Danio rerio: one gene and its partners. The main gene of each other region encodes a partner of the protein of the gene in region 2 in a complex. Links are inferred from orthologs where the notes say so. Each region holds a gene or a part of one and is shown on either strand. Other genes may lie near its edges.

Region 1 (2,849 bases), on a different chromosome or scaffold from region 2:
CTTGTTTATCAGATGTCTCCTCGCTGCTCATCTTCACCGTGTTCACCGGGGATGATATTTACACACGCTGTGAAGTTTGTCATACCTCCGCGGATGCGCACTTCCGTTCATTTGCATGGAGCGACCTAACTGGCATCTGTTTAAAGATTTAAAGTTTACATGAATCTTTGACGCTGACATAAGAAAAATAGCATTTTAAAAATTACTTTAAATAATCCGGGAGCAGTTTCATTTAGTGAACCACCTTAGCGTCTAGTTCAGGTTCCTTTCCATGCTACTGTGAATATTCTGTCTAATACAGCATATATGACTTCAAAACAACATTAGCAGTATTTCATTGACTGTGTGTGAAAAAGTTGTACTTTGATAGTCATTGGCTGTCTGCTAATATGATTTCCCAATGTAGAATATAAAACCAACTTTACCTCAATGTAAATATTATAGGGACTGTGTCACATGTTGTCTCTGAATGAATGTGTCAATTTAAATTTTACTTCTCCTCAATTTAAATATGTTACTATTGCAGTGTGAATGGATGTAGCTCAGTGGTAGAGCGCATGCTTTGCATGTATGAGGTCCTGGGTTCAATCCCCAGTATCTCCAAGAGCCTTTCGAGGTTCTGTCCACAGACGATAAACAGGGTTAAGAAAGTGGTGTATGGTCATAGGTTTAGTTGCAGCGTCTTCAATTGTCTTATCACACTAACTGTACAAAAAAAAAAAAAAAAAAAAACTACTAACACTTCCCTTCTTAGACTTTACAGACCTGAAACTTGCCTTTAGTACTTATTCATTGTTGCTCTTAGTTGTGTAAATTGCTTCCTTGTCCTCATTTGTAAGTCGCTTTGGATAAAAGCGTCTGCTAAATGACTAAATGTAAATGTAAATGAAGAGATAAAATTGCTTTAAAAAAAAAAGTATGCAAAAGTAAGCCTATATTAACATGGCTATTTTTTTAAAGTACTCATGGCTAGGGTTTTATACTTGCATATTCATTCAGTGACAACTTGTGACATGGTTTTCTACATTAATTACCTTTCAACTTTGAATATTCGGTCTGAAATCGCATCCAAGTAGGACTTAACATCATTAGCACTATTTTATTGTCTGTAAACAATGTTGTACTTTGATATTCATTGACTGCTAATATAACTTCCCCATTTAGAATTAAGAAATAATGCTTTTCTTAAATTATTATTATTATTATTAAGAGGAAATCCAAATATGCAAATATAAAATCACCTCAATTGTAATTTGGCCGATGTAAATTTTAGCCCTTTATGCAGACATGCTAACTGTTGAAATGTCTCATCAGGAGTTTATTAAACAAGCCCAAATCTGAGATGACTCCAGAGGAGCTCCAGAAGCGAGAGGAGGAAGAGTTTAACACCGGTCCACTTTCAGTGCTCACCCAGTCTGTGAAAAACAACACACAGGTCCTCATCAACTGCCGCAACAACAAGAAGCTGCTGGGCAGAGTCAAAGCATTCGACAGGTAACTCGTGTCATTTTGAGTGATAAATAATGCAAGCAGGCTTTGTTTACATTAGTGCTGCACAATATTTCGTGTCAGCATCAATATCCCAATGTTCGCATCTGCAATAGTCACATTTCAAAATATGCAAGAATTTTGTTGACCAAGAGCGACAGAATTGTGTTTAATTACTGTATTTATACAGGATTTAGGCAAATAAAGCATTTCTTATCATTTTTGGCTTGTTTCTAGTCCAAATGTTTACATTTCAAAGCTAAAAAAATAACAAAGTAAAAGTGAAACAAAACTATATTTACTTGATTCAAAAATTTTAGATATTTCCACTAGTAATGAGACAAAGCAAAGCAAGAAAATTATTTTTTTTTACATTGTGATTAATTTCTGTGAATTTAATTTCTGTACCTGAATACTGTTAGACTCTATTGAAAACCATCAAACAGTGCTATTTAAATTCTCTTCTAAAACTGTATCCCATATTGCAACATTTATTGCAAATTAAAATCTCACACTATCAAATTTTTCTAAAATTGTGCAGCCCTAGTTTACATGCACAGGCTTGTGTTGATATGATTAAACTTTTGAATATCTGTGTTGCAATAGTTTTCTGAACAAAGTATCTGCAGAGTAATAGTTGCATTTTGTGTCAACATAACCTATGCTTGTGTCTCCTGTTTGCTATAGGATTTGCTAAGATGTGTATTTTATTTGCTACAAATAAATTATATTGAATTATTTAATGATTTTGCTGAATATTTTCCCAATACTACCATGTAATATATAAACATAATATAAATTATTACTATATAATATCTAAACTATTACTATATAATATATAAACTATTACAATATAATATATGAACTTTTAATATAAGATATTTAATATATAAACATATTATTAACTTTTCCTATATAATATATAAACCATGAATATATAAGATATATAATATATAAACTAGGCTTGGGCGGTATCCAACCGGCGGTATACCGTCAAATCTCCTCCCTATTTTAACCAGGTATCCGGTATTACCAAGCATAATAAACAAAATTACGACGTAAGGCTCAGACAGCGTCACCAAATTGTGCCTAAACCATTCAGAAACTGATACCGTATATGCGACCTTAGGTTTGCGGTCACCTGTTTGTCTTGTTTGTATTCTTCTGCGTAGGACGCTCTTTCTTCAAACACACACACACACACACACACAGAGATAGAGAGAAAAAGAAGAGAGAGAACCAAGCAACACCCAGCAACTCTCTTTCTCTCTCTCTCTCTCTCTCTCTCTCTCTCTCTCTCTCATTCACACACACACAAACACACACCGAGAGAGAGCACCAAGTGACACACGCAGATTGCA
Region 2 (4,141 bases):
CCTCGGAACGTAAAAGCGAGGCCAACATGTCTAGAATAGAATAGGCTAAACCAATATGAACGTAAAATTATCAGCTGACCAAACTCAAAAGTTTATATTGAACATATGTGCAGCCTAAATAACATAGGCTAATTGGTTTAATATGCCTGACCTTAGGTCTAGTTTGATTTTTTCTTGGCACAATGCAGGAATAAAATGGCATCTACAGTGTCAGGATTCAGACGGGAGTGCCTGCATAGCCACTGCGCCCTGCTGCACTGAAGGAGCACTCGCTCGCAGCACTTGTTGCTGAAATGCATAGAATTCTCTTGGAAAGGTGCTGTAGTCATGGGAATGCCTGGCCTTATTTCTCCCAAAAGGAAAGTAGATTTTCCTATGCTGATCCGTCTATACGGAAGTTTGTAGAGGAATACTTTTGTACACTACATCCAGAATTAATGTATCCGATTCCTCCTCCCATTCTGTGAAGTCAGTCCTAGGCTTTTTCGTTGGTGCGCCAGCTATGAATATAAAAACAGTACAACCGCCCGCCACCCGCCCGAATTTAATTAAAATATTATTTTTTCGTAACGTCATCCGCCCGATCCGCGGTTTATCCGCGGAGTCCGCGGCTATAACCGCCAACCGCGCATCTCTGGCACACATTGCAATATCGAAGCTGAAACTATATATTGTGCAGCCCTAGTGTACATGTAAAAACACATTTTATAGCAGTGAAAACGGGGCTTCTTTTTCTGCAAGTAATATTTAGAAGAACTAAAAATTTAGGTATTTATACAAAGTAATTTTGCAAAGCAAATCATCATTTTAGGTTATTTCTGATTTGTAATTTGACAATAAACCATTTTTAGCTCAATACAAGTAAAGATCCTGTAATTATGATTATTTTATGATGTGGTTTTAGGTGGATATGACCAAGGTCAACCTGGAAGTCATCAAGCCCTGGATAACCCAGCGTGTGACAGAGATACTTGGCTTCGAGGATGATGTGGTCATTGAATTTGTCTTTAACCAGCTGGAGGAAAAGGTAGACCCCCACCTTGCTCTTCCCGCTCTTGTTTTATTTTTTTATACACATGCTGCAGTCTATATTAGATGTGTTGTGCTTTGGAAAGAAGAGAAGGTTTGAAGATCAATGAATAACCGCTGACAGTTATTTGAAACATTTGTCATGTGAAGATGTAACAGCAGAAACATCTAACATCACAGTGTTAAACTGTCTGCCTGATTTAAAAAAAGACAGAAAAGGGGGTAAAAAGATATATTTCTCTCTGAAGAAATGATTTGTGACACCGTTCCTTCTGAACAGCAATGTTCTAATGTTGATGTGATTTATGATTTAAAAGGCCTGAACCAATATGGATCTTATTCCTTGCATCTGAAGTATAGCACCAACTCCTAATTAGATCTCAACTGAGCCCAAAGTCTCTCTGAATCCAACTCTCCCTTGATGATGAGCTTTATTTTTTGAGGTGAGTTATGAGCAGGGCTTGACATTGTGCCAGTGGTAGAGTCATTTCAGCTTGATCATTTGTGCCTTTCTGTTTTAGTCAAAGTTTAGCAGTACATCTTAAACATAAAGGCCTGATTTATCACTTTTATGGAAATGAAAACTATTAAGGAATAAAATGAAAAGATGATTTTGCATGTAGGATGATAATGCAGTACAACATTGGTAGTGTAAGAGACTTGTTTTTTTTTTTTACTTGAGTCTCAGTTACTTGCTCATCTGTCAGTTATTAAAGACTTTGTTTTTTGTATGATTGTGCCTTTAAACAGTACGAAAAAAAGAGACGTGACCCTTTTTATCTGTTTTAGATAGGCTCTCTGTATTAGTTGCTATTTTAGTCTGTACAGATTTAATTTTCAGGAAGATTTTGCTGGGATTCCAGAGAGGTATTTGCTCTTATTTATAATACATTAAGGTGTTTCCTTAGTCTAAAACATACTTTTAATTTGTCATGGCATAGCCATATAGTAATTTGAAGAAATTCTTCAAGTTGAGCTTAATCAACAGTGTTTGTGGAATAATATGATATACCTAAGAGAATAATTTAGTCATCTTTTCTTTGTTAAAATAAAACATTTAATTACAGTTATTTGTAATTTAATTACAGCGATTATGACTGCCAGGATGAAAAGAATAAAAAGTTTGTTGAATCACTCTAAAATCAAAATCTTGAATAAACATTTTAACTTGCTAACAATTAATTAACTTTTTTTTTGTATAGTAAATATGCTCGCATATTTAAATGAAGGGTGCATTACTTGATTTTTTGCGATTGATTATTTTTGTCATAATTGTAATCACGATTATTCAAAATGATTACTGTTAAAGTCAAAATTATTAGTGCTCCTGTGAATTTTTTAAATAATTATTTCCCAAATTATGTTTAACAGAGCAAGGAATTTTAATAGTATTTTCTCTAATATTTTTTTCTTTTGGAGAAAGTCTTTTTATTTCAGCTAGAATAAAAGCAGGTTTAAATATTTTGAAACTTATTTTAAGGTCAATATTATAAGCCCCTTAAGGCAATGTATATTTTTTATTGTCTGCAGAAGAAACTACTGTTACACAATGACTTAACAATGACCCTAATTAAGCCTTCGAATCGCACTTTGAATCTGAATGCTTGTATTTTGAAAAATTTCTAGTCCAATATCATGTGCTGTCATCATAGCAAAAATAAAAGAAATCAGTTATTATAAATGAGTTATTAAAACTACTATGTTTAGAAATGTGTTTAAAAAAAATGTTTCCATTAAACAAAATTTGGGGGAAACGGGTTGCTAATATTCTGGAGGGCTAATAATTCTGACTTCAACAGTTATTTTCCTCCCTGCAAAGGTAAGAGAAATAAATACAATAAAATAACACTTAAGCTACAAAAGTCCTTCATTCAAGAGCAGTAAGGGATTTTCTCCTTTTTTTATTTGATTAATACTGATCGAAACAGGCGGTAGCAGAAATAGTGCGCTGTCACTTTAAAGGTTTCGCTTTTACGTTTCTTTTGATTCTCAACTCGTTTGTTTATTACACAAATGAGGGTTAATATGAATAATCACTAAACACCGCGTATGGACGCCTATTTGAAAATTAAAACGCTCACATTAATGACTTTAGATGTGCGCTCTGCTCGTCACCGTGTGCGAATGAGACCGAATGCTGACCGCATGCTTCTGACTGTGTGTGCTCGCTGCACACACACAAACAGGAGCATGCGGTTTAGTTCGTGCTTTTAAGAGCAACAAATGTTTACAACTGGAAAGGGGGCGGTAAATAATGTAATAATCGTTCATCTCGATTAATGGTTTTTCATAATTGTTGGAAGCCAAAATCGGATTTTCGATTAATTGCACAGCCCTACTGGATAATATTGTAGTATTTTATTAAAGAGCCTGCACCATAATTATATAAGATTTTCAAAATGTTTTTATGCAAGCGCACACAGAGATAACTGATATATATATCACTCTTCCTCGCATGGTTTCATTGTGCCAATATAAATTCATTGCTGTAGAATGCAAGTAAGTCAATACTTAAAAGTCTTTGGCATCTAAAAAAAGAAGTAAATGTTTCAATTATTCCACAGATCCTGTTGAGAGAGCTTGACCTGTATAAAGTCAGACACATTTGTATAGGCCTTATTTTAGAACAGCAGGTGCTCAGTCCTGCTCTTGAAGATCTACTTCATTGCAAACTTCTGCTCCAGCTCTTCTTAAAACCGAACTCTGGTGCACATCTTCAGGAGCACGATTTAGCACGTGTGTCTTAGTTAACGGGTCTAATAGGATTGATTTTCCTCTTCATTTTGTTGTTAATAAAACCTTTTCTATGCCTTGTGTACTCATTATTGCTTGTTCGTCTCTTGCAATTTAGATAAATGATATAGCATTAAACTCAAGGTGATTGAGTGTGATGCGGTAGTGAGGCGGAGGCCAGCCAATGGAGCGCCTTTCTCCGCCCCCCCAGCCCACAGAGCCTGCGCCACTCACACTGAAGACAACTGGACTGTTCTTGCTTTGTGGGGTTTTGATGCACTCTGTTTGTGGACTGTAATGTTTCTATCTCTCAGGAGTTTGATATTGCACAGGATGAGACAGCCATAGTGGTTGGGAGGGTCTTATTGCTCCTTGACGG
Region 3 (4,173 bases), on a different chromosome or scaffold from region 2:
GTGCCATAGAGCAGCAGTGAAGAGATTGTAAATAAAAAGGATGTAAGGATGTCGCTAGAGAGTCTTTCTGGTTTCTTTTCTTGTGCATCTCAGCCACTAGCTCCCCATGTGAAAGATTTTTTTTAGCTTAGTGGGTAATGAAGTCATTCAACCTCACAATTTTGTAACATGTATTTGAATAATGATGGTCGGTTTCTTTACTTGAAAGCTCAGATTTGATTATCATAATTTGTTTTGTTGACAGAGTTTAAGGTATGAATAATGATACAGTAAACCTCAAAGTTTGCTTTAATTGTTCAGCGTTTACTCTTTGCCATTGTGTACACTTTTTAACATTTTATTTATCAAGTTTAGGAGTTTCTTTACCACTTATATTTATATAATAAAGAGATCAGATAGTCTGTTTAAATATTTTGTTCTTGACTATTAAAACTATTTGCCTCAGTAATGTTGGTAAATTAAAATAAAGTGGTTAAATAAAACAAATCCTAATATTCACAAATGTACTGTTAAAAATATTCAATAGTTATCTATATCGAACTATATAAAACCTGATATTGTGATCCTTTTTTTGCAATATTGCCCAGGCCTATGTTGAGCTTGGATTATAACTCATCCTTTTAAGTGTTTTTTAAGGGTCTGTGAGAGTTTTAAAAGCGTGCAGGCCTCAGAAATTGAACTGTTTTTAACTTTGACAAATTCTATTGAATTGGTTCTAATACGAAGACTATGCAGTATTATTTTACATTTTAATTACTGTATACCTGATCACAGTTTGACTCCTGGAACAACAATAAAACGCTGTTTATATAATTCCATTTTTTTTGTTAATTGTAGATCGTTTATATTTTATGCATATGCACTCCCCTACAATCATCCTAATCAATCTAACTCACTATGTTAAATTTTTCCAATATCATGCAGCCCTATGACACTGTATCAGACATACTAATGTGCTTGTAAAATAATAAAAATAATCAAATCATTATTATTTTACAAACACATTGGTATGTCTGATTCAAAAATAGGAAGAATTTTGTGTTTTAGCCATTGTAAACGTCTAAATATCCTTATTTTGTTGTTCTCCAAAAACTACTATTACGGTATAGTAATATTTAGGGCCTTTTATGATCCGTTTTAGGAGACAGGTTTGTTTTAATGTAGCGCAATAAGTAAATCAATAAAATTAACAAATTTAAAAATAAACTATAAATGCATTATGTTTCAAACTAGAATACAGATCTGATCAATAGCATAGAACAAAAATAAATAACTTATTTTTCCAGTGTTTGCATAACAGTATGCAAGTATGCAGTATTCTACAAGTACTACATATCTTTATCTACACATAGACTGCATTCCATTTGAATTCTTGCTTCGTAAAGCGCTATACGGTTTAGTCTCAAAGACGCATTGGGATATAAATGCAGATTCAAATCCAGATTGATAAAATTGACCAAAGAAGTCAAATGTGGATCATTTAGCATGTTGTTGTAGCTCAGAGGTATTGCACATTTACAAAGCCAGGGTTTCTGCAGGTTTCACCAGGTCTAATTTAAAACTTTTAAAGACCTTTTTAAGACCATCAAGAATGAGATTTCAGACACATATAGGTATAAACGCAATAGGTTTTTTTTTTAATGGCCCTGCAGGAAAAATAAAATTATATATATTTTAAATAATGTGTCAAATAAAGCAGACCCTAGTTGTATATATGCATTTTTTTCAACATAACTTAAAAAAAATAACTGTTAAAAAATTTAATAAACTATTGTATGCACAACACGATGTTATAATATTGCTTATAAATAGAGCTTTGCTAAAAGTTTAATTGAGATGTATTGTTAATGATTGGGTGTGTGTTGGGTTGATTGGGTAACCTTTGATACAAAAAAGGAAAATTAAAGACCGTTTTAAAATTATTGAGGCTTACCTACAATACCATATTTAAATAAATTTAAGACTTTTTAAGGTCTACAATTGTGTTTTGGAAATATAAGACTTTTTAAGATAGAGGTAAAGTTGGTTTTATATTCAAACATTTGTTAGAGGTAAAGTTGGTTTTATATTCACACATTTGTTCATTTAGATGTGTCTATAATGTTTACCATGTTACTTTCAATATTCGATCGGAATTAGCATGCAAGTGTGACTTGAAAACAACATTAACACTGTTTATTTGACAGGGAACAATGTTGTACTTTGAAAGTCATTGGCTGCTAATACGATTTCGCCATTTAGAGTTTGCAAATAATACTGTTATGAAACTGTATTATTAAGGGGAAAGTCAGAATGTGCTAATATAAAACTAACTTTAACGTTACCTCTATCTTTTTAGGTCTCCGCGGGCACCCTGAAAGCACGCTTGACTTAACGCAGTATGACTAAATGCGTGCGTTATTCAAAATTATGAACATTTAAAAATATGAAAAGAAAAAAATAACTTATTTCATAAATTAAAACAAAGACCAATCATCATAACGTAAGCTAACGTTGCGCTGTGAACAAACTAACTTAGGTATGCGAATGTGGCAAAATTACATTACTTCAAAGAATGCAATTATTTTTCTCCTTCGGCTAAAACTAGTGGTGGGTATTTCTGTAAATATTATCGGTATGCTTACCTATAATGAAAAACTGTGATGTTTTATGGAAAAACGAATGAATGATTCCCCCAGCAGTTATTGTACACAATGGCTGTGCGAGGTGACTTCAACCGGACCGGAAATAGTTACTCTGAAATCTGTATGTGTGGAAAATATCACTGCAGTCAAGAGTTCCGCTCTGGTGGAAAGCGCTGCTCATGCTGCTGGGCCTTATTATTGTGATAACGACTTCTTATCCTCCGTATTACATATACCTTAAATGTGGGATGTGTGGAGGTGGAATATTGATTCTAGCTTACATTATATTAGCTTACGTGACTATCATAAATACTGCTCTAGGAAATTTCAGAGGTTTGGAAAAACAGTCAGCTTAGCAACAGCTTGAACATTTCACTGATAATAATAGAAGATAAATGTGTAATAAAATAATGTTATGTAAAATCTCTAGGTTATATAATGTAATTACATACATTGTAAAAATCCTCCATAATAGGTTTCTTGCATTACCCAAAGAGCACCAGGGCTTCTGACTGACTTGATATTGTTGCTTAGCCTACGATCAGCAGTCTAAATGAAATTTTAATGTTATTATTAATTTAATGTTAATAATAATATTAATGTTATCAAGAGAAGTTCCTAATTCAACTCTATGTCTGACTGAATTATATTATGCCAAAAAATCCACTAGTTGTCACAAAGTCAATCAACAGCACTTCTTCAACATTTCTTCTACCATTGATTCATAAACAAAGAAATCCCTCCTGCCATGTGAACTGTTTTTGGTGGAAATTTGCAAGGTAACCTTATTTTTTTCTCGACATATTACATTCTAAAAACTTTACAAAGTTATGTTACTTGCACATGACCACAAGGTATTATTATATATCATATATGATGACTAAAAAATTATTTCCAGGACATTTTTGTTCACTGTTCTGTTCTTGCTGGTTGAATCCATTTCCAAGCCTTGAATCTTGAATCCCTGTCAATATCTGAGAGACAGCTGAAAAATACTGTGTTCCATCAACACTTAATTGCAATCAATCAACCAATCAATCAATCAATCAATCAATCAATCAATCAATCAATCAATCAATCAATCAATCAATCAATCAATTTTCTCTTTACATAATTTCTCTATTCTTGCTTTTATTATTGTTAATAATGCTTAATTATAATTTTACATCACTTTTTCACATAGATGGATACGTGACTGCATGGGCATTGCGAGTGTTCGTGTCCATAGAAATGTATTATCCTCCCTACCTGTTAAATTTGATCTAATCCATGTCCTGAAACACACTTCATCGTCCACTTCCACTTCTAATGCCAACTAAGGGAGCAATTCGTTTGTGAATGCATCTCTGTTGTGAACAATTTGTGTGAACTATTGATATACCTGCTTTAATGTGCATAATATCCACCTTTCTGATCTAAATGGTATAAAATTTGTAATATTCAATAATTCTGGGTGGACAGTATTCAAATTAATGTCCAGATACTGTAATGGTATCAGGCACCCTTATAAGTTATTTAAAAAACTAGCATTTACTTCACTTAGCCAACA
Region 4 (3,943 bases), on a different chromosome or scaffold from region 2:
CAGCTGCAGATATACACACGTTTCAGGCACACACGATCTAAGTTAGACGGGTGTTAATGTTATTAACCTCTTCTCGGACATCATCAATATATTTTACACATAAGGTTATTGTTAATATGTATTGTATAGGCAAACACTGTAAACAATAATGCATAGGCATACCATTTCACAAATATAGCGATCAAGACGGGCGAATGGGGAATAATCACCATTCAATATAATACACTGAACAGTTTTCCATCAGTCATCATAGATGATCAGTCATTATTTATCTGACAAAGTCAACATAGCAGATTCTCGTTTGCTCAAACATTTTAAACGATCTAATTTGGACAGGTTTAATTTATTTAATGGATGCATAATGAATGAAATATAGCTAATGTACAGGATAGGCTAATAGCCTACATCATTATATCAATGTAATGTACAAATCTTTTTACATTTAATAAATGTAAAACACTGTTAATCTTTTACTCCAGCAACTGAATAGTATATATTTGCTTAATTTTCTAATAATTTTTATAATGATCTCCCACATTAAATAGGCCTACTAGTAATTTATAGTAATATATTGAGTTCACCCCAAAAAATCAAATGGGCTCACTATTTACTCAGAGGTTCAGGTGGTTCCAAGCTTTTCTGAGTTTCTTTATTCTGCTGAACACAAGAGATGTTTTGAAGAATGCTGAAAATAATTATATGGAAGTTTTGTATTATATGTATTTTTAAAAATCCTAATTTGTGTTAAGAAGAAAGTAAATCAAAATGGTTTGGAACAAGTCAACAACCTAGTAAATAATGACAGAATTTTCGGTTTTGAGTGAACTAACCCTTTAAATGGGTAAAAAAAGAAGCTTGTTTTAAACGTTAAAAACTTAAAATAAATTTATAATATAGTTTATAATTAATTCGTCTGCATTTATAATAGTTGCGACATTTTCTGCGAGTTAGCATCTTACAATTTTGACTTTTGTCCAAATCTTTTTGATATTTATTTTATTTTGTTAGAAGTGTTTATCATAATTTGGATGTGTAAATGAATTATTATTATAATTATCATCGTCATTATCATTATAATATTTTTTTATCACCATCATCATTATTCTTCTTAATATTATTTTTATTAGCATCCTTTTGGGAAAGCGGGCTTTTATTTATTTTTTCTAATTGGAACTTTTATTTTGAAAGCCTGTTTTTTTTCGTCGCTGATTTCCACAGTGATGGACGGGTCAGTTGCTAGTTCCTCTGTGTGGGACACACAAAAAGTGTATAAACATCACGAGCAGCAAAATGTTGCCCAAACGCGACCAAAATACAGAGAAGGAAGACGCCTCAAAGCTGTTAAGGTCGGTTTATTTTATAAATGCCTTTATCTCATCGAATTGTGCAGCGTCAATGTAAGCAGTCATGTTGTCTTTAAGGTCTCTCTCACAAGAACTGAATCTCTGCTTATAAAAATAATGGCTGAATCGCTAATTTTAGGTGTACACCATCAACCTGGAGTCTCGGTATTTACTAGTTCAAGGAGTGCCCGCTATTGGAGTGATGGCTGAGCTGGTGCAGCTGTTTGCTCTGTATGGAGTGATCGAGGAGTACAGGCCACTGGATGAATACCCAGCAGAAGAGTTCACTGAGGTTTACTTAATTCAGTTCCAGAAGTTGACGAGTGCACGGTAAGAAAAGGCTGATTAAATCATGTCCCATGCGAGTCTGTGCCATATATTATATATTGTGCCATATTTTTCTTGTTGATGATATAATTTCAGAAAAGTATTCTTTGCATATTCTTAATAGTGAATCAAATTAGCAGCTAGTGACTATCAAAGTTCAACATTGTTCACAGTCAAATAAATAGTGGTAATGCTGATTTGAAGTCATACTTGCATGTGATTTCAAACCCAATATTAAAAGTACCATGGTAAACAATATAGGGAGCATGTCACAAGTTGTCATTGAAAGAATGTGTGAATCTAAAACCATCCTTACCTCAATGTACCATGTTGGTGCACTGCAGAGTCGCATTCACTTTTAGTTAAAGGGATAGTTGACTCAAATACTGTAACAATAACAATTTATTCACCCTCAAGTGGTTTGAAACACAAAGGAAGATATTTTGAAATCTGGAATCCAGTAACCATCAACTTGCATAGTAGGACAAATAAATAGTATTGAAGTCAATGGTTACCGGCTTCAAGCTTTCTTTAAAATATCGTTTGTGTTCAGCTCAGACGATGTTTGTGACATGTAACGGGTGAGTAAATGATGTCTATTTTTATTTTGGAGTGAACTGTCTTTGTAGGTTCCACAAAATGTGACTTAAAACATTATGATTCATTATTAAAATATTAAATAAACACATATAGAAAACTATATACAGTACACACACTACCATACAATTGTTTGGAGTCTTCCATTTTGAAAATGATTTTGAAAGAAGCATCTTATGCTCACCAAGTCAGCTAATATTTTTTTAACTAAAAACAAAGCATCAACAATCGGATGTATTATTACATTGTCACATTTTCTATCTTGTTTAAAAGTGTAATGTATTGTGTTGAGGATGAAGGGTAATTTTCATGCTTGGTACTCGCATTTATACATGGTTATTGTCACATGACTCTTCGGAAATAATTAATTTGCTGATTTGTTGTGCAGTATATAATTTCTAATTATTATCAATGTTGTAAAGTTGCACAACTTAACATCCAAAACATCTAAGGGTTTTTTTTTTTTTTGTTCAAGATTCTTTAATGTTCTTTAGTGTCTCTTTCTCTTTAATAACACTGTAAATCTCTTTACTGCCATTAAACATTTTAAGAATATTATAAAGAGTATTTATTGCTGATAATTCTATAAATACTTTTTTACATATTTTTTCCCCTCTAAACCAAAGCAAAAATCAAAGAATAATTATTTCAAATATATGGAATTAAGTAATCGTAGTTATTTTAATTATATTTTAATAAAACTATATATTTTTAGGATAGTGTCAAAGTAAAAATAGCTGTACTGGGATTTTTAAAAATATGCCTGACAAAAATTGTTTTTCTTATAAACTATTGTTACACTGAATGACATCCACTCACCGGCCACTTTATTAGGTACACCTTACTAGTACCGGGTTTGACCTCAGAACTGCTTTTATCCTTTCTGGCATGGATTTAACAAGGAGCTGGAAATATTCCTCATTAATTTTGGTCCATATTGACATGATAGCATGTCATTGAGCAGATAGGATGGATCCATGCTTTCATGTTTGAACTGGAGCAGATTGTCTCGACCATGTACATGCATAAATGAATTGAGTTGCTTTCATGTAATTGGCTGCATAGAAATTGGTGTTTACGAGCAGTTGGACAGGTGTACCTAGCAAAATGGCCAGTGAGTGGATATTGCCATGCTATATATATATATATATATATATATATATATATATATATATATATATATATATATATATATATATATATATATATATAATTTTTTTTTTTTTTTAAATTAATTAATTAATTTATTTTTTTACAGGGCAGCTAAAAGGCACACAGATGAAAAGAGCTTCTTCGGGGGTCAGCTGCATGTCTGCTATGCTCCTGAGTATGAAACCGTGGAGGAAACAAAGCAGAAATTACAAGACAGAAGGAGATATGTTAACTGGGCAAGCCGAAATGCAGGTATGGTAATGCATTGGTATTCTCTCTAAATAAATTGCATGTGTAGAAAGTCTAACAACTATCATATGCTTATTTTGTTTTCAGCACAACTACACAGTCAGCAAGCGGAAGTAAACACAGAGTCATCATCAAGCACAGACACACGAACAGCTGAAGCTCCTAAAATGCAGAAAAACCCTGAAGAAGCCAGAAGGGAGAACGTAAATTCTGACTATATGGGATTTCCTCTGTTGCCTTTGCCTCCAACAGCAGATATTTCTTATAGACTTCAA

What was found.
Region 1: srrm1 (region 2) and snrpd2 share a complex: the UniProt entries of both Homo sapiens proteins name them as parts of the minor spliceosome. The link is inferred for Danio rerio from reciprocal best matches to the Homo sapiens genes SRRM1 and SNRPD2.
Region 3: srrm1 (region 2) and sf3b5 share a complex: the UniProt entries of both Homo sapiens proteins name them as parts of the minor spliceosome. The link is inferred for Danio rerio from reciprocal best matches to the Homo sapiens genes SRRM1 and SF3B5.
Region 4: srrm1 (region 2) and rbm48 share a complex: the UniProt entries of both Homo sapiens proteins name them as parts of the minor spliceosome. The link is inferred for Danio rerio from reciprocal best matches to the Homo sapiens genes SRRM1 and RBM48.

The regions. Positions count from the first base shown.
Region 1 is NC_133193.1:43,804,206-43,807,054, reverse strand, and holds part of snrpd2 (small nuclear ribonucleoprotein Sm D2), read left to right. Parts: intron 1-533; exon of another isoform or gene 534-603; intron 604-1,314; coding exon 1,315-1,494; intron 1,495-2,849. UniProt on the Homo sapiens protein: Plays a role in pre-mRNA splicing as a core component of the spliceosomal U1, U2, U4 and U5 small nuclear ribonucleoproteins (snRNPs), the building blocks of the spliceosome.
Region 2 is NC_133192.1:26,823,025-26,827,165, forward strand, and holds the start of srrm1 (serine/arginine repetitive matrix protein 1), read left to right. Parts: upstream 1-1,341; 5' UTR 1,342-1,472; intron 1,473-4,141. UniProt on the Homo sapiens protein: Part of pre- and post-splicing multiprotein mRNP complexes. As a component of the minor spliceosome, involved in the splicing of U12-type introns in pre-mRNAs. Involved in numerous pre-mRNA processing events.
Region 3 is NC_133188.1:27,082,030-27,086,202, reverse strand, and holds the start of sf3b5 (splicing factor 3B subunit 5), read right to left. Parts: upstream 2,801-4,173; 5' UTR 2,625-2,800; intron 1-2,624. UniProt on the Homo sapiens protein: Component of the 17S U2 SnRNP complex of the spliceosome, a large ribonucleoprotein complex that removes introns from transcribed pre-mRNAs.
Region 4 is NC_133194.1:42,804,731-42,808,673, forward strand, and holds the start of rbm48 (RNA-binding protein 48), read left to right. Parts: upstream 1-1,143; 5' UTR 1,144-1,220; coding exon 1,221-1,346; intron 1,347-1,482; coding exon 1,483-1,673; intron 1,674-3,525; coding exon 3,526-3,671; intron 3,672-3,755; coding exon 3,756-3,943. UniProt on the Homo sapiens protein: As a component of the minor spliceosome, involved in the splicing of U12-type introns in pre-mRNAs.